Linked DNA regions of Oreochromis niloticus. The protein of the gene in region 1 interacts with the protein of each later gene in a biochemical or structural test. Links are inferred from orthologs where the notes say so. Each region holds a gene or a part of one and is shown in the gene's direction. Other genes may lie near its edges.

What was found.
Region 2: of the proteins of cdkn1a (region 1) and skp2, one has a biochemical effect on the other in vitro, tested with the Homo sapiens proteins (3 studies listed by BioGRID). The link is inferred for Oreochromis niloticus from reciprocal best matches to the Homo sapiens genes CDKN1A and SKP2.
Region 3: the proteins of cdkn1a (region 1) and sex comb on midleg-like protein 2 form a complex in vitro, tested with the Homo sapiens proteins (2 studies listed by BioGRID and IntAct). The link is inferred for Oreochromis niloticus from reciprocal best matches to the Homo sapiens genes CDKN1A and SCML2.
Region 4: of the proteins of cdkn1a (region 1) and dtl, one has a biochemical effect on the other in vitro, tested with the Homo sapiens proteins (3 studies listed by BioGRID, with this or other methods). The link is inferred for Oreochromis niloticus from reciprocal best matches to the Homo sapiens genes CDKN1A and DTL.

What each region holds. Positions count from the first base shown.
Region 1 is NC_031970.2:21,861,593-21,868,904, reverse strand, and holds cdkn1a (cyclin-dependent kinase inhibitor 1), read left to right. Parts: upstream 1-4,624; 5' UTR 4,625-4,766; coding exon 4,767-4,769; intron 4,770-5,104; coding exon 5,105-5,555; intron 5,556-5,640; coding exon 5,641-5,696; 3' UTR 5,697-6,811; downstream 6,812-7,312. UniProt on the Homo sapiens protein: Plays an important role in controlling cell cycle progression and DNA damage-induced G2 arrest. Involved in p53/TP53 mediated inhibition of cellular proliferation in response to DNA damage.
Region 2 is NC_031972.2:8,165,850-8,173,623, reverse strand, and holds the start of skp2 (S-phase kinase-associated protein 2), read left to right. Parts: upstream 1-4,767; 5' UTR 4,768-4,919; coding exon 4,920-4,933; intron 4,934-5,526; coding exon 5,527-5,774; intron 5,775-5,865; coding exon 5,866-5,977; intron 5,978-6,364; coding exon 6,365-6,508; intron 6,509-6,717; coding exon 6,718-6,852; intron 6,853-7,178; coding exon 7,179-7,277; intron 7,278-7,368; coding exon 7,369-7,496; intron 7,497-7,774. UniProt on the Homo sapiens protein: Substrate recognition component of a SCF (SKP1-CUL1-F-box protein) E3 ubiquitin-protein ligase complex which mediates the ubiquitination and subsequent proteasomal degradation of target proteins involved in cell cycle progression, signal transduction and transcription.
Region 3 is NC_031986.2:36,477,360-36,484,525, forward strand, and holds the start of sex comb on midleg-like protein 2, read left to right. Parts: upstream 1-4,161; 5' UTR 4,162-4,318; intron 4,319-4,345; exon of another isoform or gene 4,346-4,447; intron 4,448-5,116; exon of another isoform or gene 5,117-5,221; intron 5,222-6,966; 5' UTR 6,967-7,057; coding exon 7,058-7,079; intron 7,080-7,166. UniProt on the Homo sapiens protein: Putative Polycomb group (PcG) protein. PcG proteins act by forming multiprotein complexes, which are required to maintain the transcriptionally repressive state of homeotic genes throughout development.
Region 4 is NC_031980.2:13,633,545-13,640,608, forward strand, and holds the start of dtl (denticleless protein homolog), read left to right. Parts: upstream 1-4,043; 5' UTR 4,044-4,260; coding exon 4,261-4,312; intron 4,313-6,120; coding exon 6,121-6,258; intron 6,259-6,350; coding exon 6,351-6,443; intron 6,444-6,523; coding exon 6,524-6,585; intron 6,586-6,777; coding exon 6,778-6,898; intron 6,899-6,990; coding exon 6,991-7,056; intron 7,057-7,064. Other genes in the region: ints7 (integrator complex subunit 7), read right to left, coding at 63-197, 285-402, 490-612, 702-901, 1,163-1,209, 1,314-1,451, 1,943-2,089, 2,986-3,115 and 1 more. UniProt on the Homo sapiens protein: Substrate-specific adapter of a DCX (DDB1-CUL4-X-box) E3 ubiquitin-protein ligase complex required for cell cycle control, DNA damage response and translesion DNA synthesis.

The sequences.
Region 1 (7,312 bases):
CTACCTTAAGGAGCTCAGTTAATTAATAAACTTAAATCAACTTAGCTAACAGATTATGTTAGTTAAGCTAAAATAGATTCCTAAGTTAAAAGAACTACTAAAGTATTTGAATTAACTAAAAAACCCAAGTCAACTGAACTAGGACAAGAGTTTAAACAATAGATTATTTTAATTTAGCTGAAAGGGTTTTCCCAAGTAAAGATGACAATTAAAGGAGTTGAACTGACTAATAAATCTCAGTCAACTAAACTAAGATGAAAGTTTAGACAACATGTGATTTTTCATTAAGATAACAATTGGTTGTGTTATAAGAACAAACTCTATTTCTTGACTTAACTTAAAATTTTAAGGCAGCCCTTTACCTCATATTTTTAAGTTGAAACAACAAGTTATATTTTACAGTGTATGTATAGTTTATTACTGTCTTGTCACTGCTGCTAGTATAAGATTGGGTTTATTCTGTAAAACTTGAAGATATTTTATAAAATAATTCTGTTATTCTTTTTAGTTTATTATGTCAAAGTAAGTTGCACTCATGGGCCACTTCTTTAGTTACATTAGTTGCCTTAAATTTCCAATAAGCTGACTGATTTTGGTCCATATAGAAAACAAAACCAGATACATGGGTAGATTTGCAAATCCATTATGCAAATGTCCCGTTTCACCACATCCAATGGTGCTCTATTGGGCTGAGATCTGGTGACTGTGGACACATTGGAGTACAGTTGTTCAAGAAACTAGTTTGAGATGATTTGAGCTTTGTGACATGGTGCATTGGTCAGCAGCAATACTCAGGTAGGATGTGGTGTTTAAGTGATGCTCAGTTGGAACTAAGGGACCTAAAGTGTGTGAAGAATATATCCCTCCACATTATTACACCATCGACAGCAGCCTGAAGTGTTGATACAAAGCTGGAGCGTGGATCTATCCATTCTTTCATGTTGCTTACAAAAAATCCTGAACATACAACCTGAATGTGGCAGCAGGAATCGAGACTCATCAGACCAGTTTTTTAGTGTCCAGTTTTTATGACTCCATACCAATTTAAGCCTATGTTTCCTCCTTTTGGCTGACAAGAGTGGTACCCTGTGTGGCCTTCTGGTGCTCTTCCTCCCCTCACCTTCAACCGGTTACAGCAGATGGTTGTCCCTCCCTCAGCCTGCTTCTGTCAGAGGTTTCTTCCTGTTAAAGGGGAGTTTTTCCTTCCCAGAAGCACTTGCTCATGAGGGGGTGGGGGTGTCCTCTAACTGATGGGGTTTTCTCATATTACTGTAGGGGTTTTACCTTACAATGTAAAGTGCCTTGAGGTGATTGTTGTTGTTATTTGACACCGTGTAAAGAAACAATTTTAACTGAACTGAGTTGAATAACTTGAGTATAACGTGTGGTTATGTGAGTTTATGTTGCCTTCCTATCAGCTCGAAGCAGTCTGTCCATCCTCCTCTGACATCAACAAGGCATTTTCACCCAGAGAACTGCTGCTTGCTGGGTATTTTCTCTTTTCTGGACAATATTGCAAACCCTGGAGATGTTTGTGTGGGAAAATCCCAGCACAGCAGCACTTTCTGAAATGCACAGACCAGCCCATCTGGCACCAAATTCCCTTAAATCACTTTTCTTCCCCGTTCTTATGCTTACTTTAAACGTTACCAGGTAATCTTCACCGTGTCTACACATCTAAAGTTGCCGCCATATGATTGGCATATTAGATATTGACGTTAACAGGCTGTTGAACATGTGTACCTAATGAAGAGGCCGGTGAATGCTGTCATATATAGAAGTGGTCGATACATATAGTGAGTTTTTTGGGGAGGGGGGGGCTACCACAGGAAGGATATATTTAAATTGGATACAGGTACAAAGAGCGCATGAGTGAAATTACCCAGTGTAGTTCCATTTACTGTTTACGAGTTTCTCCACTTTTACTTCTACTTTCTCCTTCGCTGCTCTCTGCTCTGTGATGCCAACAGAAACCGAAACGTCGCGTGAGCTGTTTTAGAAATGGGAGGAAGCAAACGAGATGTGTCATTGTGATGTATCCTGGAAACGGGACAAGTACAAACGCCGAAGCGCTCTGTCATGCGCACTGAGAAGCAGGGAGAGACGGGGAGGGGAGGCTGAGCTGGGCTGTGTCCTCCTGAGCTGGAATTTCCTCTCGTCTTCGACCCGAGCCAAGCTTCACGTGTGCTCATGTGTTTACCGGGCCAAATCCACGTGTGCGAGTCCCCCGAGTCTCCGCCTCTGGAATGGAAAGGAGGGTACCCGTCCACCGGAGCTCATAAAAGTTTAGCAGGAGTCCGTGTCTGTAAGAAATCTTAGGAGAAAGTGTCACGGAGAAGTATTTTCCTGTGAATCTGTTGGGTTACATAGCATCAGCCTCGTCCGTTTATTTACATCAGAGCTGCTGTGAAGACTGGAAATCAGAAAAACAGCGAGAGAAGGTGGATAACAGTCAGTTTTCCCCCAGCAAGTTTGAAAAAAGGAAGATTTTTTGTCTTTGAATTAAAATGTAAGTAAAACTAAAAGTTTGAATTTTTGCGCTTTGGTGGTTTCACTTGTGATTGGCCTGTTAGTGTATACAAGTCTAAAAAAACATCGCTGTTTACATTATATGGCTAAACAACCTGTAATGTTATAGGAGCTACTTTTAGTTTCAGTCCTACCTATATGCTTTATCTTTTTTTAATTTTCATTATTTATTTATATATTTGTTCGTTTAATCCCATAAATTACACGTTTCCATGACTACCTCCGTCCCCGTGCTGTTGTTGGGTTTATGTCTTTTAGCTGGTTTCAGTGTATCAACTCAAAACTTTACCAAAGCTTCCCGCACGGTTGTTTTTAGGTGTGTGTGGTTGTGGTTCGTTGGTGTGCAGAGGTGGTGGTGGTGGTGGTAAGGGCTCCAGACAGTGACAGCGCAGTTTGGCCGGCCAGCACGAGCTGCAGCCTCACGTGGACCTGTGTAGTAAACTGGGCAGGGTCCGAGCCGGTTCCAGCGCCGCCCGTGCATGACTCGTTCTCCCGCCACTCGCTTGAATCACTCCGCCCTCTCCTCTCACGCCGCGTCATACGCGTGACTGAGTGGATGGAAATGGGAGGGTGTGAGGAGGATAGTGGCTACAAGCTGTGTGTCCACCCTCTCCCAAAGTGTTTCAGTGTTTCTGATGTTTTACTTCATTCTGGATGAATTGGATTTATTTTGGGCTCCCCAGTTCTTCCCAGTGTAAGGACCCCCACCCACCCCTCCCTGACCTTTGTGCTTGCAGGTCCACAGTTATGTAACAGTGGGTGGGAAGGGGAAACAGTCTGTGCCACTCTGTAGGATCCACCCTGCCTCAGTGGCATTTTTCAGCAGGTGAGGTTAATATAGTAGTAATGTAGTAGTAAAGTGCAGGATTTGGATTTATCCAGCCATTAGTGCTGTGCTATCTTGTATTGATCCACTATCACCGATACCAATACTTTAAACCTATAAAGGGGAGAACAGTGTGTCTTGATTTGTAAGGTGAATCGTCATCTGTTTAAATGTGTGCAAATTCTGAACACATTTTAACTTTCAGCTTTTTATGTGTTCTTAAATTGTGTGTGTTTGTTTGTTTTTTGAGAACTGGGATATATATCTAAAGCAGTTTGAGTCAGCTTCTGTTATTTAAATGTGCCATAGGTTATAAATAAAATACACAAAAAAGGTTCAGACATTTTTATCGCCCGTAGTATCGATGCAGTACCAATACCAACTTTGGTATCCATCCTATTGATATTTCAATCAATCTGTCACTTTGCATTACTTAATTTATGTAATATTATCAAGAGACCTTTCAGTTTTTCTCTCGTTATTCCATCTGAAAGCCAAAGCTGAGCGGGGACATCAGTGAAACCAGGAGCAATAGCCTGGCCCTTCACATCAGTAATAAACTACTGGGCACAAAGACACAAGCGCATTCCTATCAGATGAAAAACTATATATGAGCCTGATCTTTGGGCAATGTGTGTTAAAGTTTTGCTGTTGTTGTTTTGTCTCCAAGATTTCGTTGAGCTTAGAATGAATGAACTGCAAACCTTGGACAGTCGCCACATTTGTGGGATGATGTAACAGGCCATGTTTTAACAAGATTTCCAGCCAAGTCATTTTAAGGACTGTGTTTATTGTAAAGCTTTGTTGAAAAAACTGGACTTAAGGTGCCAGTGAACAGTTACCAGGTTGTGTTGATGGATTTGCTTCTCTGCCTTATCTGGATTTCTCTTCATCGTCATTATTTTCATCATTTCTATAAAAACTCAAATCAGAGTGACCTCTCCCCCTCCTGCTGTTCTCAGCTGGATAATCATGATGGGAACCGCTTCTCATGATTGTTCCCTGAAAAGAAAATCCTGGGAATTCTGCCCAGTCCTTCCCGGATGGCCTTAATGACATCCACCTGAGACACACCTGATTCCTTCCTGTAGCCTTCGCAGTAAAGTGTTTGCTGTTTGTATGTAAGTCCCGTCCAGATCAGCAGATGTGGAAATAGGATTCATAAGTCACCGCCTCGGATTTTTACTCTGCAGGGGGCCTGATACTGCCACCTGGTGGTGATTCTCGGTGTTTGCGCTCTCGGTCGCTACTTAGGACTTGTCCTTACATGTCTGGTTGAGATTATGCCCTGGCATGTACCAGTGATTCAGAGAGAGGGAGGAGCGCTCAGTGAGTCACTGCCTTAGTATAAAAAGCTGCCCAGCGAGACCAGTGTGTTAGTTCACTGAGGAGCTTTACGCTGGTTTGAAAGATGGTAAGACAGATTTTTACTTTCATACTCGAGGCAGTATCAAGTAACTGAGATGGATGCACTTGTAATGGATTACAGAGCTCATTTTGCTTGGTTTAGAATAAGACTGGAGCTGAGGTTCCTCTCCTCCAGAGAAGTCACTGCATGTTTTACTTGTGCAACATTTCATCAGCACTGAGTGTCCGGGAGGATTCGTCTAATCGCTGGAGATGCTTAATTAATGGAGACAAAATTAACTTTCAAATATGCCATGTCTGGTTTATTATTGTTGCTACTTTTTAAAGCAAAATGCCAATCAGTGTTACTGTAACCAGAGATCTTCTCTCTGTTTTCATCAGTGTAGAGTGATGGCTTCTCACAAGCGAATCTTGGGGGTACTGAGAAAAAGACCAGCCCGGAGAAACCTGTTTGGGCCTGTGGACCGAGAGCAGCTACAGGTGGAGTACCAGGCCGCCATGCGTAACGACCTGGAGGAGGCTTCAAAGCGGTGGGGCTTTGACTTTAGCTTGGACAAGCCTCTGGAGAGCAGCGATTTCCAATGGGAGGGTGTCCCGAGCACTAGGGTGCCTCTGCTCTACAGGTCCTGTATGCAGGGTCTCGGACAGGCTGAAGGCCACAGGTCAGCAGAGACAGTTACTCCCAAGAGAGGAAGGGTGGAGACGGCACAGAGCGAGAAGGAGAACATCCCCGGTATGCCGGAGAACTGCATGCACGGCCGGGAGATGCTGGAGAAAACACCGGAGAAGGGCGAGAACACCGGGCTGAAGAGGAAGCAGACGAACATCACAGGTACGTGTTCCAGCTGAAAGCGAGAAGTCTCGTCATTTCACGTGAGAGTGCACGAGCTTAAAATTCCTGCACTTTATCCCAACAGATTTCTACCAGGCTAAAAGAAGAGTAGTGTGGATGCCCCGCAAATCCGGCGAGTGATATTCGGTGGAGAAACGCCAATATTCCAAGAGAACCACCCAGACAGGGCCACGCTCAGGAATCACACGTCCCGCACAGACTCTGGCCGTGCACCCAGGAGGGACCTCAACCACACGTCAATACAAAACAGTTAATTAGGGTACTGCAGTCACTCTGAGGAGATTGGTGTTTTTTTCCCTCAGTGGCAAGAATGCGACATTTGAGCAGAGAAGATTAACAGTAATCTCTGGAATCAGTGGATTTACACTCATTTGGGGGGGGGGATGCCAAAGTGTTGCCCGACTGCACATTCAGCCGCACTGAAAGGACAGTCACATCCGCTGGAGATGTGTCCATTAAAATCATCCAGTCTGATCATGTTTTTAAGGTGAGAAGACAAAGCTCTTTGGCTCCATAGTTCAAATCCATGATTGTTTTTCTACAGCATTTTTTCTACATGTGTATCACAAGGGCTTACCAGTCATCTTCTTTTTTTTACTGTCTAAAGTATGTCATACTTTTTATGTCCAGCTGTACACAGTGCTTTTATCGACAACCATTTAATCAAAGGAAGATGCTTGAAGAGTTCTGACATCTCAAACATGCAGTTGCTTTGCTTAGATTATAAAAGACAGAAGTGCCATCATGTCCTCTTCCATCCTTTTCCATCTACTTTACATCAGCTGATTTTTGATGTCCTTTGACAGCCCGATCCAGACTCTGATACTGATAATGTTGGCTAGGAACACTAAAACACTTTTATTTAGTTATATATGTATAAGAGGTATATCTATAAAGTTAAATATGGTATTGTCAGGTAGCATAATCATTTAAACTGCAGTGTTGCACATAAACACCCAGTATCAAGTGCCTTTACTGGCATTTGTTTTTGGTATTTAAAGCTCCTTCATCAAAAGCAAATGTATTATTTAGTAAGCTAAAATGACACATTTATTATTTTCTATTCACCGTGCAATCTAACTAATGATGTGTTTTGTTTTTGGTTTTTTTGCCTTAATTTGTTCTTTTTTTCCCCCTCTTGGCACTTATTTATGTCTACATTAGCAAATTCTGCTGCTATGGGTAATATGAATGGGTGTCGAGCGACGTCGCTGTGACGCTAACCCTCACCAACAGAGAGCTTTGAAATGCTCCGAAGCCGAGAAAATAAGCGAATGACCCCAAACAATGATTGCACTTCTGTTTGTAGATGCTTTCCTCTGTATTGTGTTTTGTTCAAGGCTGCAAGTGAAAATCTCTGTACTTATTTATTGTGAGATACGATGTCATGTGTTAATTTAGGTTTTGTTTAATTATTATGAAATCCAATAAAATGGTCAAATGAACCGCCTTGTGTCTTTAATGTGTCGTCACTTTACTTTTAAGTAGCAACGGTAAAACTATTACTTAGTTTGGCTGAACCCTTGCAGTGTTGTATCACAGTACAATTTCTCCATTAACGCCATTATACAATCACTAGCCACTTTATTAGGTACACCTCGCTAGCACCAGGTTGGATCTCTTTTTGTCTTCAGAAGTGCCTTAACTCTTTTTGCACAGATTGAACAGGGTGCTGGAAACAAACCTCAGAGGTTTTGGTCCATGTTGACATGAAAGCATCACACAGTTGGTGCAGA
Region 2 (7,774 bases), on another chromosome or scaffold:
AAACTGTCATAGTTCTTTTCTGTGTTTGTTTATTGTTGTTTTGATCTTGATTATGTTTCCTAGTTTAGTTTTCTTTGTTTCTGGTTTTGATTATGTTTTATCTCGACTGATTAAGGTTTATTTTAGGTTGTTTAGCGTTTCCCTTTATCATGTCCTGAGTGTTTTGTCTCTATGTTATGGATCTCCTTCTCTGTCCTTGTCTGACTCTGTGTTTCGTCTCCCTTACCTGTTCTTCTCTTTGTGTTTCATCCTTGACTCCTCAGCCTCTCGTGTGTTCCTGTGTTTGCTTATCCCCGTCCTAGTGTCAAGTTTGTGAAACTTCCTGTTTTATTTTGTTAATCCTTTTCTCATGTGAATTATGTCCAGTTTACTTCCCCTGCCTTTTTACATCTAATTTGTTCCTGCTCGGGTCCCATGTGTTTCCACTCCCCTTGTCACCCCTCAGCGTATTTATTTTCTCTGTCTTCCTTTGTTGGAGCGTCTGTTAACCTACCCATGTGTCTCTATGTCCCATGTGTTTAGTTGGATTTCTTATTTTGTGTTTTGTCAATCAGCCTGAATAAGCAGTTTGTCTTTTGTTCAAGTTACTTCCTGCTTCCATTGTCTGCATTTGTGTTCTCACTCTCTGCTCCACACCATCTGCTGCTGCAGATCTTGACATAAACTCAGATCTGCTACATGTGTCTCGGTTTGTTTAGCTAGACATCTGCTCTTTACCACTGAATCACAAACCTATCAACAGGACAGGGATCAAACACATAGAAAGATATCAATCTGAGGGAATATGCAAATATAGTTATACAATTGTATCACTTAGATAACAATGATAATTTAAATTAAAATGCTATGTCTGGGGAGCACATGTGAAGACAATAGAAATGGAACCACTATTGTAGCTTCAGGAATTTCATCATATGAAAAAGTTGCAGCAGTTGGATGTTACTTTCTGAATCAGGATAAGGTTTTGGCAAGAAATAACTACTTAGAAAAACCTGTCAGTTTGGAATATTCTTAAGTATGCATCAAAATTATTAACCAAACCAAGATATTGTCCAGTCTCAGAGTGTGGAACCGTGCTCACTAGACTATGTAATTTTTTGCATAATAGTTAGGGATAGTTGCTGCTGCCCAAACTTGATCCAATGTATTGTCTGCTGTAAGTTAGGGTCACAAAATTACATTCTTTTAAAAACATACTTATCTTGTATTAAAAAAATACACAGAGACTTTTTTTTTTGTAACTGAGGGCTTTTATTTTGAACATTTCACATTTTTAAAGCATACTAGTCTTCCAATAAGAAAGTTTTATTTTGAAAATCTGACACACCTTGTCCCTCCTGTCAGTCATTGTCAGGGTCTGGGACTGTTACCTTAGTGCACAACTGCGTGTATGTGTGAGAACGAGGGAGAAAGGTCAATAGTTATAAATAACAGCGTACGCACATATGACCTGAGGTGGAATTACATCATTTTTTCCAAACTATAAATATTTGTGCTTCCCATACTTATATATCCATACTCAAAATCACAGACAGCCTCTGAGACACTGTTAGATGGATAAATCAGTGCGCCCCAGGGCAGCTGTGGCTACAATGTAGCTTGCCATCACCAGTGTGTGAATGTGTGTGAGAACGGGTGAATGACTGAATGTAGTGTGAAGCGCTTTGGGGTCCTTAGGGACTAAGTAAAGCGCTATACAAGTACAGGCCATTTACCATTTACCATAAATAACTTTAAATAGGTTGAAATGTGTGTGTGGAACAGACTGAAATGGAGGCAAATGACATGTTGCGGCGACCCCTAAAGGGAGAAGTCGAAAGAAGGGGATTAGTGGGAGACATGTATATATTTGAGCCTGTATGGTTTAGAGAATATCCAGAATATTTCTGAAGAGCGTGTGAGAGAGTAGATTAGGCAAACATTCGGGATGGACTTCCAGCTGGCACACCAAACAGGATTCACTACGAAGAATGAGCGGTAAGCAGGTAAGCACTGGTCATCTGGTAAAAAGCTGCGGGAGTCCTTCATCTGACATGAAGAAAAGGAAACTTTATAGCTGTTCCATCCACCAACATCTGTTTTACTCAGAGAAAAACCTCCAGTAAGTCTCAAAAAGTTGTATTAAAATATGCAGATGAACTATTAACTTAGTCTGATACTATGTTTAAATTATACAGCTTGATCATGGCTGACAGCAGCTGTCCTATTTTACATGGAAGGGAACAGGGGTGATAGTAAAGAAGGGCATGATGTATACTAGACCATATTAATTTCAAGGCTTTCATAACAATTTTTAGATTGAAAGTGAAATAATATAAATTGCATTAATATTTAAAATATAAAAATAAAAGCTCTTGTACAAGCAAAAAAATAAATAAAACACACATGGGGCAATAAAACACTTGGCCACTGACCTGATGGTTGTTAGGTTGGACACTGAATTATTGTTAATATTAATTAACGTCAATCAACGTTGCGATTTGGTGCCATTTAAATTAAATTTAATTGAATGGAAAAAAGCCAACTTTGTTTACATAAGTATATCATATAAGATCAGTCGCTGAAAATTTTAATAGTGTTGAATATCAACACTTTAAAATGGCACAATTCTGACCTCTTGAGCTACAATGAATGTTACATAATATCAAATAAACTGGTTCGAACATGCTCACTCTTGAGTCATTAAACACGGAAAACCTATAACTGAATAAAAGATGCTTTCTACAGTCATGTTTTGGTCCAATATTGCTGGTGAAGCCTCCTGAAACTCTCTGGTGTTATAGGAGTTATTCAAATTCAAAATAATTTACTTCTTCAGAAAGAACTTAAAATAATATTTGTTTGAATGCATTAATCTGATTTAGTGTCAGAGGCTCATCAGTTCATAAACTTCATCCATACTAAAGCAAATAAATAAATAATAAAGGAACACGTTGAAAACACCTTAGATCTCAATGAGAAAAAAATCATGCTGCCTCTACATCTATACTGATGTGGATGTAATGTGTTAGGAACCAAAAAATACCACACGGTTTGATGGCAATGAAAATGATTAACCTACAAAGTGCTGAATTCAAAGACACCCTGAAAAGTATAGTAAAAAAATGATCTTACTTAGGAACGTTCCTAGCTACTAATTTCTTACTCAACTAATTGAGAAATTACACTAACCGACTAGTCTAAAAGTAAGAAACACTCAGATATTTAGTTAAATTTGAGAATCGTTTCGATAAAAGTTAAAATCTAAAACCACAAAACAATAAATCATCTAGCCATTTTCTTCCCCTTATCTGAAGTCAGTCGTGGGGACAGCAGGGAAGCCCTCCCTTTTGCCACCTCCTCCAAGCTTATCCGGGAACACATCCAGCCTTTCCCAGATCAGCCTATAGATATGATCTCTCCAGGGTGTCCCGGTTCAGCACCGGGGCCTCCTCCCAGTAGGACATGTCTGGCCAGAAAACCTTATCCATTCGGGAAAAGCCTTAGCCGTTTCCTTTTGATGTGGAAGAATAGTGGCTCTATTCTGAACCCTGTCACTAAGGGAAAGCCCACCTTTAGGAGAAAGCTATTTTCTGCCATTTGTATCTGCAGTGTCATTCTAATAGCAAAAAGATCAGGGCTATATTAAGTTATGTATGGTGTTTCTCAACAACCGTCTGGTGGCAAATGGCTGCATAACATTTAGGACAACAACTAGTAAGTTTGGTACCAACTAGTGACAATAGCGCGATTAGTCGACTAGTCGCACACATCCCTAATCTTACTTCATACGTCTTTTGACCCAGTTGGTAACACAAGTGCTTCCCTGCTTTATTAAAGCACGACTAAGGAAAAAGACCTGCTAATAATCAGGACCTATTACCTACTGCCTTAAAAATACAATTTTTCTTCTTCTTTCATTTATAACAGCAGCTTGCATCCAACGATGTTGTACTACTGCCATCTCCTGGGTTTTACTGCTACATCACTTCCATACCCTTAGATCCTGTTGATGGCTGTGTCCCAATCCGGCGACCGCACGCTTCGGAGTACGCGCAGTTCGCGTACTATGAGTCCAGTATTTCTCAAAAAACAAAGTCTTTCCTTTCCCTTCATCATGACTCAACTGATCAACCACCATTTCAAACTTGGGTTCGGTAGTACTACCCATTTCTACCCTCAACATTCTCCTTTGACTGACATACTTCCTGCAGCTAAAAAGCACATGTTCAATCGTTTCCAGAGCATTACACCGATTACATAAACCAGTAAGATGTTTCCGCATCCTAAAAAGAGTGCCATCTAGAAAACAATGACCTCTTCTTATTCTACGTATAATTATAATTACCTCCTCCTGCCTACTTACACCTCTATTTCTTGTAACGTGAACTGTTTTGTACTTTATATAAATGTCTCCCTTTTACTTCATTACCCCGCGCCATTTCCCATAAATTCTTACTTTCTTTCCAAACGTTTCCCTTCAGAATTCGACAACGGTATCTGCATATCAATATCTACTTTTTTAATAGCTTCTTTGGCCAACCTATCTGCTCTTTCATTACCCACAATACCTATATGAGCGGGAGTCCACATTATTACTATATTTTTGCTTTGTTCACACACAAAATCTACGATTTTTCAATACTTAACAATGCTAACAATGAATCACTATTATTACTTTTGAAATTATGTCTTCCACCCGTTCTAAAGCCAATAATATGGCACATAACTCTACTGCATATATACTCAAAAAACTGCCACCTGGCGAAATCCCTAATGCGTATGACGTAACGCGATGTACGTGCAGGCACGTCCGTGACGTAACGAAAAGAGGGCGCCCCAGTGTTGGCGGCGAATTTAAAGAGTCTCGGTTGGAGGGCTGCGATCCAAACAGTCTTGCACTTTTTGTGTAGGATCGCACTTGTTTCGAGTTGAAGGAAATGCCAGGCGACAGGTATCGTTCTCAGTGGTTCTTACATTCTGTTACTAAAAATATTTGAGGTATAGCGGTGCATAAGTTATCTCTGAGATGTGTTGCACATGTGAAAATGAGCCGCCATCCCAAGGCTAGCTTGGTGCTGTTTAACTGTCCCAACTCAAAACTGTGCTTTCCATTTCTAAAGCGGTGTGAACAAGGCGGAATTATGCGAAATTGTGTGTTCGGTAAACCGCCGGCGTCTTAGCGTAGTTAGTGTAAACTGTACCGATAGCGCGCTTTCTCCCCAGCGCTTTCCCTCCACGCCTGTCAGCGGCTCTTTTCTTCCCGGGGTACACACTGTAAGCTAACCGCGGAGCAGGAGTGGACGTCCTGGACCACCTGCATGTGTCTGTGTACTGAAAGACAGGAGACAGTGTTTGTCGTTTGGTTTTGCAGTCAGTTTGCGCGGTCACACCGCTGGTAGCTACATCAATATGGCGGGCATGGAGGGGTTCTTTAGAGGAAGCTAGGCCGCTAAGTAGCCTTTCTGTGGGGTGTTCGTGTAAGACAGCATGATGAAGCCTTGTTTAACCATGCCCACATGTCTGATTAACTTCTGCTTCCAACAGTGTCCCACTGCAGGATCGTCCCTGCCTTAGTCTGCAGGACTCCATGCTGACTCAGCCCAAGAAAAGCAACAAATGCAAGTCCAGAGGCATTCTCAGCGAGGGCCTGGACACTGAGTGGACCCCAACAGATCTCATCCTGCAGTTCACACCACCGCGCAAGAAACAGCGGCTCTTCAGCAAGGGGAAGGAGAATGACAGCAATCAATTTGTTCTTGGCAGGAGATCAAGGAGGAAAGACCCCTCACCAAGTAGGAGGAGATGGTTTTCTGAGGTTTAAGATGAGGACTTTCACCTGTGATCAACTTAACTTTTTTTCCCCCTTTCTCCTTCCCTCTGCAGACATTTCATGGGATCAACTACCAGACGAGGTTGTTCTTAGGATTTTCTTCTGCCTCCCTCTCCAGGACCTCGTCAGAATATCTGTAGTTTGCAAGCGCTGGCAACGTTTGGCGTGAGTCATAATGATCATTAACAAAATCTCTGGCCCTGCTTCTTCCCGCTTGAAATTTTTTTTTTTTTAAGTGCGGGGCGGATCCTAAAGATTGAGTTTGCATACTTCAAACCACTCCTCTGGTTCTTTCTCACATCTGTGTGTTTAAACTCGTGACACTTATCAGAGTATTCAAAAATATGGAAATCTGTGGCTACATTCAAAAGTATTAAATTCTGACAAACTGGTAGATAGACGAGTTTGTGCTGCTTAATATTCTCAATGACACACACAATGGAAACCCACATTCACATTTAACAGAACGGGTTGCTGTGTGCAGGTTATTTACTGCAGGCTTCTGTAGGGGTTTGCCTCCATGACACCTCTTTGCTTGTCCATTCATCACAGGTTTGACGAGTCTCTGTGGCACAGTGTGGATCTAGAGGGGATGACCCACACTGGTCTGGCTCTGCAGCAGGTGCTGAGGACTGGCATCCGCAGACTGCGCTGCCCTCGCTCCTTTGTGGAAGAGTTGCACTTGACATACAGAGGGTTAGTCACATATATCATGGTGTGTCCTGATTTTCTTCTTCACTGGAAGACTTACTCTGAGTTTTCCTTGCCTGTGAAAATCTAATGAAAACTATCTAATGTCTAATGTTTAATTCTCCTCCACACCACAGAGCTCTATTAAGTATTAAGTTCTGTGGCACTTATTAAGTGGAAAAAAAATGCTCTTTTCTTTCTTTTCCATTATCCAGCTCTTTGCAGGTGGTTCAAATGGATCTGTCAAACTCAGTCATACCCACGTTGGCTCTGGAAGACCTCATCTGTCGCTGCAGACTGCTAGAATGTCTGAGCCTGGAGGGTCTGCAGCTCTCTGACACCATCATCAGGTGAGATCTGAACTATTTGCTACTGATTAGTGTAGCAGGGATGTCACTGATTCCCAGTGTCTTTGCAGCTGCTTTTCTCTTCTCAAAAAGATGTCTGAGCTTTTCATGACCTCAGATGCTGAGGGAAACATGTCAGTGATGCTGTTTGTAGCAGAGCCTCATCAGAGGTGGAAAAGTCGTGCTGTAACTGTTGATTGTAAACTGGCAAAGCACTAAATTCTTCTCAGTAAATGCATTTTCTGAATCTGTTTCAGCTTAAATCTGTACTGTGTGTTTGGAGCTCATGTTTGGGTGTATTTGTTAATCTCTTTTTCTCTCTCACTCAGCTGTCTGGCAAAGAACACCCGCCTACAGGAGCTCAACCTCAGCGGCTGCTCCGCCTTCTCTGCTCCTGCGCTCGCTAGGATGCTGAAATCCTGTTCCCGGTCAGCTGCTCAGTCCTTTATTCACTTTGTAACCACAGTTTCAGTTTCTCCTCTTCCTCAGATTTACTCATGCTCTGATTTTGTGTTTCAGTATACAACAGCTGAACTTATCATGGTGCACCTTTGATAATAATCACATAAAGAGCGTCGTTGATAATCTGAGTTCTAGTGTTACACATCTCAACCTCAGCGGTTACAGAGAGAGCCTCACCCTAAATGGTGAGTGGTGGAGATCTTCAAGTCACTGATTTCAACACTAACAAACACAGCTGGTTTGTCCTTAATGATGTAACACATAACAAATTGCATAATGATACAGTAATTTATGATTCACTTGACAGCTTGAAGAGTAACACTGAGGGTGCGTACTGCTGAAGTGAAATTAGTTTGTGAAAACTGTATATGGATAGATCGATCTAGATATAGATCTATATCTTAAAGATTGTTTGAGTTGATCATTCTGACAGTGTCTGACGTGTGTCTGTGTCATTTCTCAT
Region 3 (7,166 bases), on another chromosome or scaffold:
AAGAAAACAGGAAATGAATACTAAAACACTGGAACATTAACAAAACACCAAACATAAACCACGACTCAAATAGATAAACTTAGCATCTAAGATATGAAGTCAAGATCCTATCAGGAAATCCCAGAGGCATGACAATGACGACTGAGACCAGGAAAGGGTCACAATTATACAGCAATACCTCAGAACTTCCAAACCCTTATATAAAAATCATTAAAAATAAGCTAAACATTAAAAACTAAACACTATGAAGTTTAAAGTGTGAAGAGGTGAACAAGAAGTCCTTGACTATAATTTTGAAGAAGTGGCTGGGAAGTGCAGGTTTTGGAAAATTATATTACACAATGGAGTCTCGGTGATGTAATATACATTACTACTCCACAGACTAAAGCCTCATCTCTTCTGCTGAAGTTGTAACACTGAAATAGGAACACTGTCTGTATTGCATAGATTAGATCTGCACCTGCCCATACCTGTATTCACACAGAACCTGCAAAAACAAGGTGGAGTTTAAAAACCTCACCTTTCTCTTTGCATCATATCTTTTCAATCAGCAAACCACACCCTTTAAAATTCCTTTGTCATAAAAGGTGGTTTTCTCCCCCAGCCACCAGTGAGAACAAAGTCCATATTAACCGTGGAAATTATTCATTATTGTTTGAGTAATTCCTGTATTTATTACGTCAAAGACATTGAGCATGCCTGCATTGGGCAGTTATTTCCCTGTAGCAAATAAATCAGTTGAACAGTTTTAAATGTGCACGCCACGTCAGATCAACCAACACGATCGCTTCTAGTGCAGTTTTTTAATCCCGACTGAATCAAGTTTAACCCTCTTGGGTACAACATTGATCATAAAGGAGAATGAAAACCCACTAAAATGTATTAAATTGCACAAAAAATATGCAACCTTTCAATGGAAAAATGAACACCCACCTACATCTGCTGGGATAATGAGCTAGAGAGAGACACAGTCTCAAGGGTACACCTTGAGGTTGTTTTTTTTTAAGATGGCAGATGTTTTTCTAACATTTTGGAAATGAAAGTGATCAGGTTCTTCTTCCTTTGTATGAAGGCATTTTAGAAGAAGTTTTAACCAGAGCCATCGGAAAACACCACCATTGTTATTATTATTTTATATTTTTTCATGCAAACTTAGATTACTCCTATATAATACATGATTTTATTTACCTACAGTATAAAAGAAAATAAAGATTTCAAATAAGGTAACATAGACTTAATTCTTGGCTTGACTTACATGTGTTTGAACCCTTAAAGAACCCTTTCAAACCAGATAAATTATATTTTAAACTTGAGTTTGTCAGCTTGGAGGAAAAGTGAAGGTAAATTTGAAAAACAAGCATAATTACCCATGTAGCAGTAAGGTCTTCTTAAATGCAGGATCATCAGATTATGGAACCACAAATCATTGATAGAGTCTAACTTTTCCTTTTTTCATTAACTGGACAAATACAGAGAGAGCTGCACCTTACTGGAAAATCAAAAATAAGGTAAAACTTTGCATAGGTGCATTATAAAAAACACTCCTGATCTAATAGGGTCTGGCGAGAGCTTAAATGCAATAAATGATATGCAAAAGGAATATGTATGTTCTCACATTATGAGAGTAAATCTTGGGAGTTTCCATTTTCTATATGGGTACTTCAGTTTCCTCCCACAAAAACATCCTTACTGGGTTAAATGGTAATTCTAAATCGGTTGTAAGGGTGGTTTTGTGTCTCTCCATGTCAGTCTTGGGATGTAATGGTGACCTGTCCTGGGTTTTAACCTTGCTCCAACCCCCCTACCCGCTTCCAGAGCTTTCAAGATAATGTTTGAATCAATTTAGTTATTATACTGTTTGATACTTAAACACTGAGTGGCTGTTCTGCAAAGTTAAACAACTGTGAGGCCACTGTTGGTGTAACTACTATAACAGGTGCCCTCTGCACATCTGAGGCAAACAGCACCATTTCACCAGTGACAAATAAGGATGTGAAACTTCTATAATTTTCTGTGTCACAAACAACTTCTTTCCTACTGAGAACTGAGCTGAAAGTGGAAAGATTCCTGGCATTAGAGAGACTTTTTATTTTTTTATCAAATGACAACTCCTCCAGTGTTATTTTTTTTAATGTTATTAAAAAGGAACATGTCTATAATTACTTCACAAATGATTGACACTTTTCAGTATTTGCTCTGTTTGGTCACTGCAAACAGGAATCTGCTTCGGTCTCCACAATTCTTTTTACAATACTTAACACTTATATTTATGGGTAGATACATTTTTTTTAAATACAACTTTATTTGAAAATGTTTTATTTCAGAAAACACAGAGAAAGTGGAGCGTTATCCCTCCACACTTCCTGTTTATATTGGAAAAGAAAATGCAGAGCAAGTGAAAACAAACAACCACAACCTCAGCAGTTGCTCCACTTAAGTGGAATTTAAAAAAAACCCAAACTCTATTACAGTGATTACAAGCTAAATTTTGGTGTGTATGTTTAAGAAAATTTGGAAAAGGGAAGCCTTACAAGCTAAAAACTACATGAGTGTTAAAGGCCAATTTTAACTAATATTTTTGTCATTTATTTCCCTTTTCTGTCAAGGAAACATGGAACTCTTAAGTCAAAATGCTTTAAATTTTTTTAAGCTCTCATACATTTAACCAACTTAAATTGATGTGGAACAGCCACATGTGGAACAGAGAGCAAAATAAGGATCCTGAACTTTAAATCTGTGATTCTGCAACAATATAAATGGACTAGAAGTTTAACATTTTGGGGTGGAAAAACTTTTAAAATCCTATTTGGGAGCAAAGCAGACAAACTTTTTAAGTGTTTTTATCTGATTTGACTGGCGGTTCCAGTGACATCAATTCAATTTAGTTAATGCTAAAGATAGAGGCCCAAATAAGTCAAGATGGGTACTAAGTGTCCAAGCTTGCATCTAGAAGGAAAATTGATTAATATCCACCACTAATATGGCAAATGCATGTTATTATCAGTTAACAAAGTCAGTATGACCAGATGCTACAATACTGGTGCATCCATACTATATTAAGTGGTTTTAATGTATAAAACCATCATATTTTGCCAGACACTCATTATCTTCTGAATATTTCAGCATAAAAAACAGTTAATTTGAATGTGTTTTGTCCCCTAGCACCACTTTTTTCCACTGTGGTAATTCCTGCTGTAGTGAATCCAGATAAAGACAGGAAACCAAAGCATTCTGCCTGAGGCTTTTTGCCTGTTACATGTGTAATATACAGAAAATTCAATGAATTTGGGAATGATGAGGAATGATGTTTAAAACACTTCAGGTTGTTTGTCGTCAGCTTTGTAACCGGATCTCTCATCCAATTAGAAAATTAATTTGAAGAGAATTAAATCCCTTTGATGGGGATAGCTGTTTTTAAGAAAGTCTTGGATATGGCTTGGATGAAGTTTATCAGAACATACTTCTTTACACTTAAATTAAGGGATTTTTTATTTATTTATTTTTATTTTTTTTATTTTTTGTTAGATGAAAAAAAAATAACTTGACGCTCCTGATCTGGAGTTAATGAAGGAGAGAAAAAATCTGTGGGCGGGGGAAAAACAGTGAAGACGGGACAGTGACCGTAAGTCATACGCTTTTTTTCTGTGATGACGCACTACTACCCACTTTAAGTGAGAACAAACCACAACCACTTTACACAGTTTCACTAACTTAAACAGTTTTTATTTAGGACGGGGCTTTAGTTCTGCTCCAAATTTACTTATTGCTTTTCATCATATTATATTATATTATATTATATTATATTATATTATATTATAATACGAATTTAGCCTTTTGCATGAATTATTTTTCTTTTTACTATTTTTCTGTTCTGTACTTTTGGCCTTACGTATTTAAAGACCACACCACATATCTTACATTGTTTATTTGAGGCGTTTTCTTACATGTTTACAGTCTTTCAGATTTGAACCACAGCTGGGGGACACAGGAGAAAGACCCTGTAAAGAGGAAGGAACGCTGAAGTGGATCACTCATACAAGTTTTCTGAAGCTGAAACTACAGCCAGTGCAGTCCGGATTCTTATTGGACGAATTATTTGAGTCTTTGCCTGATTGGCTACTACTGTGAGCAGCAAGCGAATGCATTGGCCCAGTGAACTACTCCTCCTGCAGTCAGCCCCCGTGTCGTAGCTGTCCTCTCCTCTCAGCACAATCTTTGGCATATATTACGTACGTGTAAGGATACACTACATTCGTGAAAAAATGGCAGCTGACGAATAGAAAAAAAGTGGATCTTCAGTCGAAAAAAGAAGGCACTTGTAAGTTAATACTTCAGAATGAATGATTTGGAGTTTGGGGAAATTATCCGTGGAAGCTTCTCAATCCTGCCTACGTGCGATTCTCTCCGATAATGTGGAAGTAACTGTTCTCAGAGGGTTAACGCTAAGGTTAGCCAACCTAGTTATTAGCCAGCAGCGGTAGCTAGCATACAAGCAGTTCCAGTTGTCAACATTGGGCCTAGACTATTACCTGAAACCGTTAATGTTACGCAACAGAGAGCAGAGATGCATCATATATCATATATAAATCATATATGCAACAGTTTAAAACTCGGCGTTATGATAAATTAATTAAATTATACCTTCCTGCCTCGATATGTAGCCTCGCTAGCTGTTACAATCCAAGTTAACATTAGAAGGATGGTGGGTGAGGCGACATAACCAGCTGATTTGAGAGTAAAAATGAGAAAATTTACTTCTGGCTGTTGGTAATTATGAGGTTATAAATGTAGGTATTGTGAATAATAACCTCTTGGGTCGATGTAACGTTAATTTAGCTCATAGGCGGGGCGTTATTAGCGTCATTATAATAGGCATTCAGCGTGGCTAATATTACCTTAATGACTGAGACCGTGTTTCTACTGTAAACTTGAGGGGAGGGCACGCAGTTTTTATTTGCTGACCTAGAACAGCTGTTGTGCTTTCTTTATACCAAACTCACTAACTTACGGGACTCCTGGTGTTGGAGTTAGTTACATTTTACAGATGTTTTGGAAATGAAAATGTGGGAATGTACACAAAGTTGCAGACTGTGTCGTATGGGCTGTCCCACCACAGGCCCGGTTGTAGCTGAACCTCATGAAAAAAACCCACCCTGTACGAGGCTTCCTGTCTCCGTGGGAGTGACCCATTACTGGAAAACCACAATACTACGCGAAAGAGGTTCTGATGGTTTTTTACTTTACGAAAAAAGGTTGACTTCCTTTTTGCTAACCACAGTATCCTTTGTCTACCTTCATACTTTTACTATGTGGGCTATTTTTAGGGGCATCTCCACTATTCCTTTAAAACTATAAGCTCATGCCTGACCTCCTCAGAATCAAGTTTTTTTTAGCATATTAAATGCAAAATGTCAGTTGAGCTGATTAGTAACTTAAGGTCTGCTGATGTGAGGCCCTATTCAGATGCTGGCATCTCCTCTCTGTCTGAGATGACTGTAGATGTAAACAATTGTAAATGATCTCACATAAAAAGGAGCATAATGAACTAAAAGCTAATATTTAGAAGTTTAATTTGTTCCAACCCATAAGCAGCAGCTGCTATGATTATTTCAGCAGGCTGAGGAACAGCTGGAATTAACATCTGCACATTAGTTCTCTAAAAGAATAACACAGGGCATGGTTAATATAGACAGAGACAGACTCTCGAAACCTCAGAACAAAAGCCGTTCAGCCTTTTATTGTGTCAGTTCACAAATACTGTTACAGTCAGTGCCCACAGAGTAGCTGCAGTAAAAAAAAGATAAAGATAATTAAAGTTAATATGCACTGAAAGAAAAGGTCTCACCCTCCAGTCTGTCTCAACCTTAAAGGTGCACATATCATGGAATATTATTAATAACTGCTCAGTACTATTACACATATTGTACTTAACAGGTAATACTCGCTTTCAGTTCCCTACAGCCAGTTGGAAATTATGCAAATGAGGGAAAATCTCTGATGGATCAAGCAGAAGTAACAACTATTTATCGATACGCTAATCGTGTAACTAAGAGAGTGAGAGGGAACATCACAGCACCAAAAAAGGCTGCTGCAACAAACCTGAGCTGCACAGAAATTGAGATTGGATGGTAGAGATTTAAGAAAGCGTTACGTGAAATATGTGCCATGTGGGCTCTACCTGTTGCCTTGCCCTGATTTCATGGCTGAATACCTTCACTCACTCCAACATGGATCTGTCACTTCATGTTGATAATGGTGGCGTTACCGCTTCGAGGATCAGGAGGATTCATGTTTGTTTTTTTTGTTTTTCTTTCATTCTGCTGTAAGGGATGTACCAATCAAGATTTTCATTTTCTGATATCACTACCATAGATGTGGGTATCTGCTGACACCAAATACCTATCTGATACCCGTGATCAATAAATAACCTGCAACCCTGACACTGAGGAAGACTGGGACCATTCCCAAACAGTAAAAACCTGACCCCCAAACTGCTGACCGTTCTTCCATGCTGTGTTAGCTTCTTCTCGACGAAGAAGATGTCATATTTGCCAGATATTCAGTCCAGATACTAGATTGGTGCATTGTTTATTTTCTCTATTCGTTTTTTTTAGAGGTCTGCAGGCAGTCGTCTGCATTGCTTAAATACCCATAATACTTCACTCTCTGTAGCCAAATACCTGCACAAATAGATTTAGAAGGAGTGTAATAAATCAGGCTTTAGTTGTCCATCCCAGTTTCTCATTTGCTAAATTGCACATCTTTTATTCCTCTCTTTGAGTCTTATGCTACGTGCCATTTGAAGTGGGAAGTTGGAATTCCGAAATTCACAATCGGAATTTTCAGCTCAAACACTCCCTCGAGTGGGATGTTCTGGTTTGGACAATTTGCCTTGTTGTTATCTCAATATTTTTAAGGCGTTTCTGTCTTGTTTCTGTTCCAAATAATCAATTTTTGTGTTTTCAGGACAAACTTTCAGAGAATACGGAAACAAGTCGGGTGATCATCTGGCACCTTGTTCAACACCATAAAAGTGCCACATTGGTCATCTGTCATCATGGGGAAAACGCCGCTAAAAGGCAAGGACCTCTTATTTGTTTGAGGAAGCTGGTACTTGTGCTTATACAAAATGTAAAAAACAGGGTTTTTTTTCATAATGTGAAAAA
Region 4 (7,064 bases), on another chromosome or scaffold:
TTACCACACTGATTAAGAATTAAAAGCATCCCCCAAATAGGTTATTGCCCAGTTTAACTAACCTTTCTCCGGACAGGAAATGGCAATGTTGGTGAGCACTATGACCCCGTGAGCTGCTACTGCCAGGTTGCTGTGGTAACAGCATTCCTGTGCCAATTTAACCAGGTCAGTGAGCCGGGGTGGAACCAAAGAGCCACCTGAGAAGAAAAGTTTTAGAGAATGCAGATCAGTTCAGAGTGGCATTCTTTGTTTCCTAAATGCAGTGATTTAAGCATAAACATTACCTCCCACATTACTAAAATACTGTTTGATTGCAATAGTTCCAGAGAGGGTGGAGAGAACGGCCAACATCCCCAGCTTCAAACTGTTGTAGGGGATAGTCAAAGCACACTCGCACAGCATCTGCAGAGATAAAAGCTGTTAGATTGCAGACCGATTTTAAACATCACAACAACCCTACAGTGCAACTGTTGCCATCTGGGGCTCTACCTGAGTGTTTTCTCTTATCCACAGGTGAGGAGCCTTTTTAGCCAGGAGCTTTAAATCGTTAACTGCAAGTCTCTTCACAGCTTTTCTCGGATCATCTTTTAGGTACTGAAGGAGGAGCTGCAGCTGCAAACAGATTAGGAACCAAATCAGAGGTGCACCACAACAAACTAAAAGAAATGACACATAGCTGTGTGCGAGCAAGTTGGGTCTACCTGCTTGGGGATATCTATGAGGGAAGAGGCGGCCAGCTGGGTGAAAGTATGCAGGGAGACAATGACCATGGGGGTGGAAGGATAAGAGTTCACCAGATGCTGTAAAAGCTCTCTGCTGCTGGACGCCAGGCTGGCGTCATGATGCATGTGCTGCAGCATGGGGATCAACTTCAGCTTCAGTTCCACAGGAGTGTCTAAACCTGAGGTGGAAGAAAAGACCAATACAAACATTATGTAAAAGATGCAGTGCACGTGACAAATGTTTTCTTTGGGTTCAGCAAAATGTGTATTTGCAGTGTTTTGTGTTTCTTTTTCTCCGTGATTTCAGAATGAAAAAAAGAATAATTTTAATGGCTGTACTCAGTTTAGTGTGACAATTAAAAATAAAAGACATCAGTGACAATGAAGCTTTGAACCACGACAGCTCTCGTTTATCTTCACGTAAAGAATAAAGATCTTACCTTGAATCATCTCACTAACTTTGTTGCAAATTCCAGCTGCAAAGTCTCTGAAAATAAAAAATAAAAATTAATTAAAAAGCCACACAACAATAAAATCATCTAAAACATCATCCCATACATCAGAGCTCACTTTTAGTCATTGTTTCCTTACTTTGACTGTGCAGAGAAGCTTGCAGCAGCAAAGATGGCTGCCTCGACTTCCACATTGTCATGAGAGTCCAGGCTTTGGCGAATAGTGTGGTGGGCATTCTTCCTCTCTGGGATGATGGAGGCCAAACTACCAAGCATCCTGAACACATAAGACAGCAGGAATTTTCTTTTTAAAAATCTGAGATGACTGAAAAGATGGTGCACAACAAAACTGAAGAAGATAGTGCAGACAGGGTGGAGTGGATGGAGACTAGTATTGGGGTGATTTGTGACAGAAGGATAACAGCAAGAGTGAAGCAGAAGTTTTGCAAGATGTTAGTGAGATCTGCTAACATGTATGATGAAGATGTTACGATTCTTACAGAGAATGCACAGGATAGGAAAGAAGGGACAGCTCAGGTTGGGCATATTGGAGTAAAAGTTAGAGAGGCAAGGCTGAGATGTTTTGGACATGTGCAGAGGAATGACACTGGATACACTGCACAAAAGATGCCAAAGCCAGGCAAGAAGGCCACAAAGGAGGTTTGTAGATGTAGTGAAGGAGGACATGCAGAGGGTTGACAGAAGAGTGTGCTAGGGATAGGGTCAGATGCGCCACTCGCGTTTTTAATCATCATTTCACATTGTTACCTCAGAGTGATGGCTCTGGCCACAGGGTCATTACTGTGGATGACTGAAAACACCCGTTTCACAAACTCATCCACATTGAGAATCTTCTCCAAATGTTTCTCACTCTGTTGAGTCACTTTGAGTACACAGAGACGCAGAAAGTTGTTACTGGAAAAGAGAAATAAGATGTTTGTGGCACAGTAAAGCTCATCTTTAACTTCTCGCACCTTCTAAATACATCTTACCAACTTCAAAAACATTCTATTAAAAAGTGCATAAGATGCGCACATTTATTTATTTAGGCACTTTTGAATAAAATTAAAGTTTGAAAAATCCACTTAAGTAAGAATAGTTCTTATTCTTTCTTAAAGTGAAATAAATTCACTTTTTCCCCAAATCCTCTTATTTGGAACCTTCTCTCTCTCTTTTCCGTCAACTTTTTCCCTTTCTTTTTTTTCATGAAGAATAATTATAGTTTTTTTATTTTTAAAACCTTTCTCACACCAACATTTTTCCCTCTGTACTTACATCTATTCATACTTTTCTTAATTTTTTTTTTATTTTCTAAAGTAAAATAAAATACACAGATACTCCCTGAATATCTCACTACAGTTCAAACACAACACAATAACACATTAACAGGCCTGCCCTCAATGATCAGTTTACTGGGTATGCTTAGTTTAAAGTATCTTGTACTTTTAAAGATTGATAAACATCAAGTTCATTAGAGACATCAAAGACACGCAATTATTCATTAAATATAAGAAGAAAATCTATTATCTGTTATTTTTTGGTGTTTCAGAGTTTGTTTATTTTATTTTTGCATTAGCTTGGGAGTGATTATGTGAACTACATGAGTGTGCGAATAGTGTTTACATTTTCTTTTGACGGCTTAGGCTTGTGGTTAAACTGTACGCTCAATTACTTAGAGATGTTATTAAAATTTTCTCTACACTCTGAAATGCATTGGGATGCCTGTATTAGATTCAGCTATAAAGAAAGTGTGAAACAACTGTCAGTAAAGTAGCCTTTAACAAATAAATGATCATCTAAAGCAATCATACCCGAGCCTGAAGATGTCTGCTAGTTTTAAAAATGCAGAGTTGATGAGGATGGGAAATGGGTACTTCTGGAAGAGTTTGGGGAACAAAACCACAGCCTCACACTGCTCACCGAGCTTCCCCGACCGCAACCCTGAAAATAAAGTGGAAATGCTCCAGTCACAACAAAGCAGGAAGCTTCCACTTAACACATTACGAGGAAACGACACACCGGATCAGAACACAATCAATGAACCATATGCTAAGTCTTTAGCCAGCGAGCTAACACACCTTTGTCCAGCTCCATGAGAGCGGAGTTAGCGTCGAGCTCCTGTTCGCCATAACAAGCCTCTGACAGGAATGAGCGTGCGGTGGAGAGCGACATTACTGTGCAGTTTTTACCCCTTAAAAGAAGATACACTCATGAGATATTAGCATTTCACTGTTCAGGCGGTATTCAGGAAAACACTGAGGATACAGAGACAGAACATCCGGTCTGGAGATTGACTTTCACAATAAAACGCCAGTTGTCATGGTCGCGAGCTACCAAGCTGTTTTAGGGACTATTTATAAAATAGATTTACGTTAAATATCTACGTGAAATATGTATTAGTATATTATTCTAGTATCACCTTAGCATCAAATGATAGATTATGGATGAATCGGTAACACCATAATACTCTAAATAACAACAGTTACATTGGAGATATCATAGTCATGGTGACTTTTAAACCTTTGTTACTTTAGTGCTTCTGTTGAAAAGAACATTTTTACTTGTGATTTTCATAACTTTTGTTGCAGTCACAGATATTCATTTTCTAGTTCAACACTGCGCACAACCTGAAATTGTGTGTTGTCACACATACTTGCACCACTAAATGCACCATATACATGCAGCATTTGTTTGGCAGTGGTTGTATACAACAAAGTGTATTTACTAAACTAACAACTGTCTAACAGGATAAACATACTATGCAAAGAGGGGCTAGTTATTAGTTTAATCGTTTTAAAAAATATTTATTTATGCTGAAGGGGCGTCTCCTTCTCCAGTTATGGTGGGAAACTTTACAAAGAAAGCGGAAGCAGAAGCGCTCCTGCCCAGGAAGTCGCCGTTTCCACCAATGGTTGCGCGTAACGCAAGTTTAGCGGGGAATTCAGTCCTTCTGCTCGGACGATCTATTCGCGGGAAACAGTGTCCCGGCATCGGTAGGGAAAGCGGACCACCAGTAGCTAAACATCGAGGAAAACGTTACGTTTTTATACAAAAGCCTTAGGATCGAGTTGTGCTGCAGTGCAGGGATGCTTTTCCGCTCAGTGGTGGACAGAGGAGTGGGCAGACGGAGGCAGAATGGTGAGACAGGGATGGGTTTTTGGGGAGATCTGGGTTATCTGCACGGCCATGGCTGGGCTTTAGCTAGTCTACCATGGAAGATAATGCAGTCTAACATCTCTGCTTTATATTTGGAGGAGTCATGCTGCCAGGAGGGCTCCTAGAGTATCATTTGCACTTGCTTTTCTTTTGCGTTCAGTGTGGACTTTAACGTTTAACTCTACTTTCTTCGTGAATGTCTTTGTCGGGCTGTTCAGACTCCAACGGGTGGTAGATCAACAATATGTCCTGCCTTATACCTGTAGTACATATCAGGACAGTTTCTCACATTTTGATTGGCTTTGGTTTATACAACTCAAGAGCAAGTGAGAAGATGAGCGTGCCGATCTATGATCGTAGGTCACTTTATTAGGTACACCTGGCTAGCACTGGGTTGGACCCTCTTTTGTCTTCCATGCGTAGATTCAACAAGTTGGTTGAAGCGTCCCTCAGATATTTTGATCCATATTGACGTGATGGCATCACACGGTTTCTGCATATTTGTCGACTGTACGTCAACGATGCAATGTCCTGTTTTACCACATCCCAATGGCTTGAGATCTGGCGTCTGTGGAGGCCATTTGAGTACAGTGTGCTCATCGTCATGTTCAAGAAACCAGTCTGAGAGGAAGTGAGCTCCGTGACATGGTGTTATCCTGCTGAAAGCAGCCATTACAGCCATTAGACAAGGGTGTCACGTAGTAAAAGGTCACGTATAGATAAAATTGAAGTAGGCCAAGCTGCTGCAGACTACCAGACTAATGGAAAGTGGGAAGATGTTTGAGTATATTATGAAAATTTTAAGGATATGTATATAAAATATGAGCCTCACTGTTACCAGTCTAAATTCATTACACATACAGGTGATTATAGTAAATGGTCCCAAAAGAAAAAAACCTCAAAATCTTCTGGTAATTCAAAGAATACATCCTATTTTTTCCTGTTAAATAAAATAGGAACTTGCCCATTGATTCGTTTATAATGAAAACCCAGCTAATTTTCTGTTTTCTATTCATTTATTTTATTTTTAATGGTGTCTAGTGCTTATTTTGGTATAGTATAGCAGGTCAGGGGTGATTTGTTTGTTACTAAGAAGGCTGTAAAAATGACAATGAGTCAAATCTCTGGACCGTCAGTTTGGACTCTCGTGGCGTGATCGGTTCACAAGTACAAACCGAAAATCCACATTTAGGCATTCTTTGACATTTTTACACGGGCCGGTTGTGGCCCCTGGGCTGTATGTTTGACACCCCTGCATTAGAAGATCGGTACACCGTGTTCATAAAAGATGGTCAGCAACAACAACATGATACTCAGTGTGCCAAGAAAATACCCCCCACGTCATTACACCACCAGCAGCCTGAACTGTCGATACAAGGCAGGATGGATCCATGCTTTCATGCTGTTTACATCAAATTCTGAACTTATTATCCAAACATCACCGCAGAAATCGAGACTTTTCAGACTAGACAATGTTTTTCCAGTGTTCTGTTGTCCAATTTTGTTGATCCAGTGTGAATAGCAGCCTCAGGATCCTGTTCTTGGCCTACAGGAGCGGCAGCTGGTGTAGTCTTCTTCTGCAATGACTCCAAGGTTCAATGTGTTGCATGCTCAGAGATGCTCTTCTGCATATCTTAATTGTAACAAGTGGTTATTTGAGTTACAGTTGCCTTAATATCAGCTCAAAGCAGTTTGATGATTGTCCACTTAAATCTGCAATGATTTTTCCGTTAGTTTTACTGCTGTGTCTCATTGATTTCCCTCCTCTGACCATGCATCATTCTCTTCAGCTCTCCCTGCAGATCCCTGGTCCAGGTACCCTCTGAGCTCCCTGCTTGAAGGCTACCGATGTGTCCGACATGATGAACATATCTCCTATGGGAACTTTGGCGACTCTGTGCCACCGTTTGGATTAGCTTTCTCCTCTGGTAATTCATTTGTGCTTATCATTGTGAGTGCAAGGACCTGTTATCATTAATCTGTCTAACTGCAGTGTCTCGTTTCTGCTGTTTGTTTTCAGCCAGGGACCAGCAGAACATCCTCGCAGTAGCTAATGAAGAAGGCATTGTTAGGTTCTACAACACAGAGAGCCGTAAATATCCACTTCTTAAAGGTATTCTTTTGACTTGTGTTCATAATTGTCATGTCATGTATTTTGAAATGTCGGTGGCTAAATGTGTGTGAACCTTGCAGCATGGCTGGCTCATGAGAATGCTGTCTTTGATATCGCCTGGATGCCAGGGGAGGCTCAGTTAGTAAGTGCAAATTTATTCTGTTTAGTCAGAGAATTGCAGAAAGTCAGATCTTTATGCGTCACCCTCAAATGCATGACTCATGTAATTCCATCTACCTTACTAATTTTTCTTTTTGTTCTTTATTTTGTTGGAACTCATTAAAAACTCTGAAGCCTTTTCTTATTATGCTTTGGTCATCTGTGATCTCTTCAGGTAACTGCTGCGGGTGACCAGATGGCCAGGCTCTGGGATGTGAAGTCTGGAGAGTTGTTAGGCAGCTTCAAGGGCCACCTCTGCAGTCTTAAGTCTGTTGCATTTGCACCAGAGGAGAAAGGTATACCTTTTACTGAGCTAACACCGTGTTGGTTGTGCATTGATGATATATTGTTGTATCATGTGATTAATACATTTTCTTTTGTCACACAGCTGTGTTTTCCACTGGAGCCAGAGATGGAAATATTATGGTCTGGGACATGAGATGCAGCAAAAAAGGTATTGAT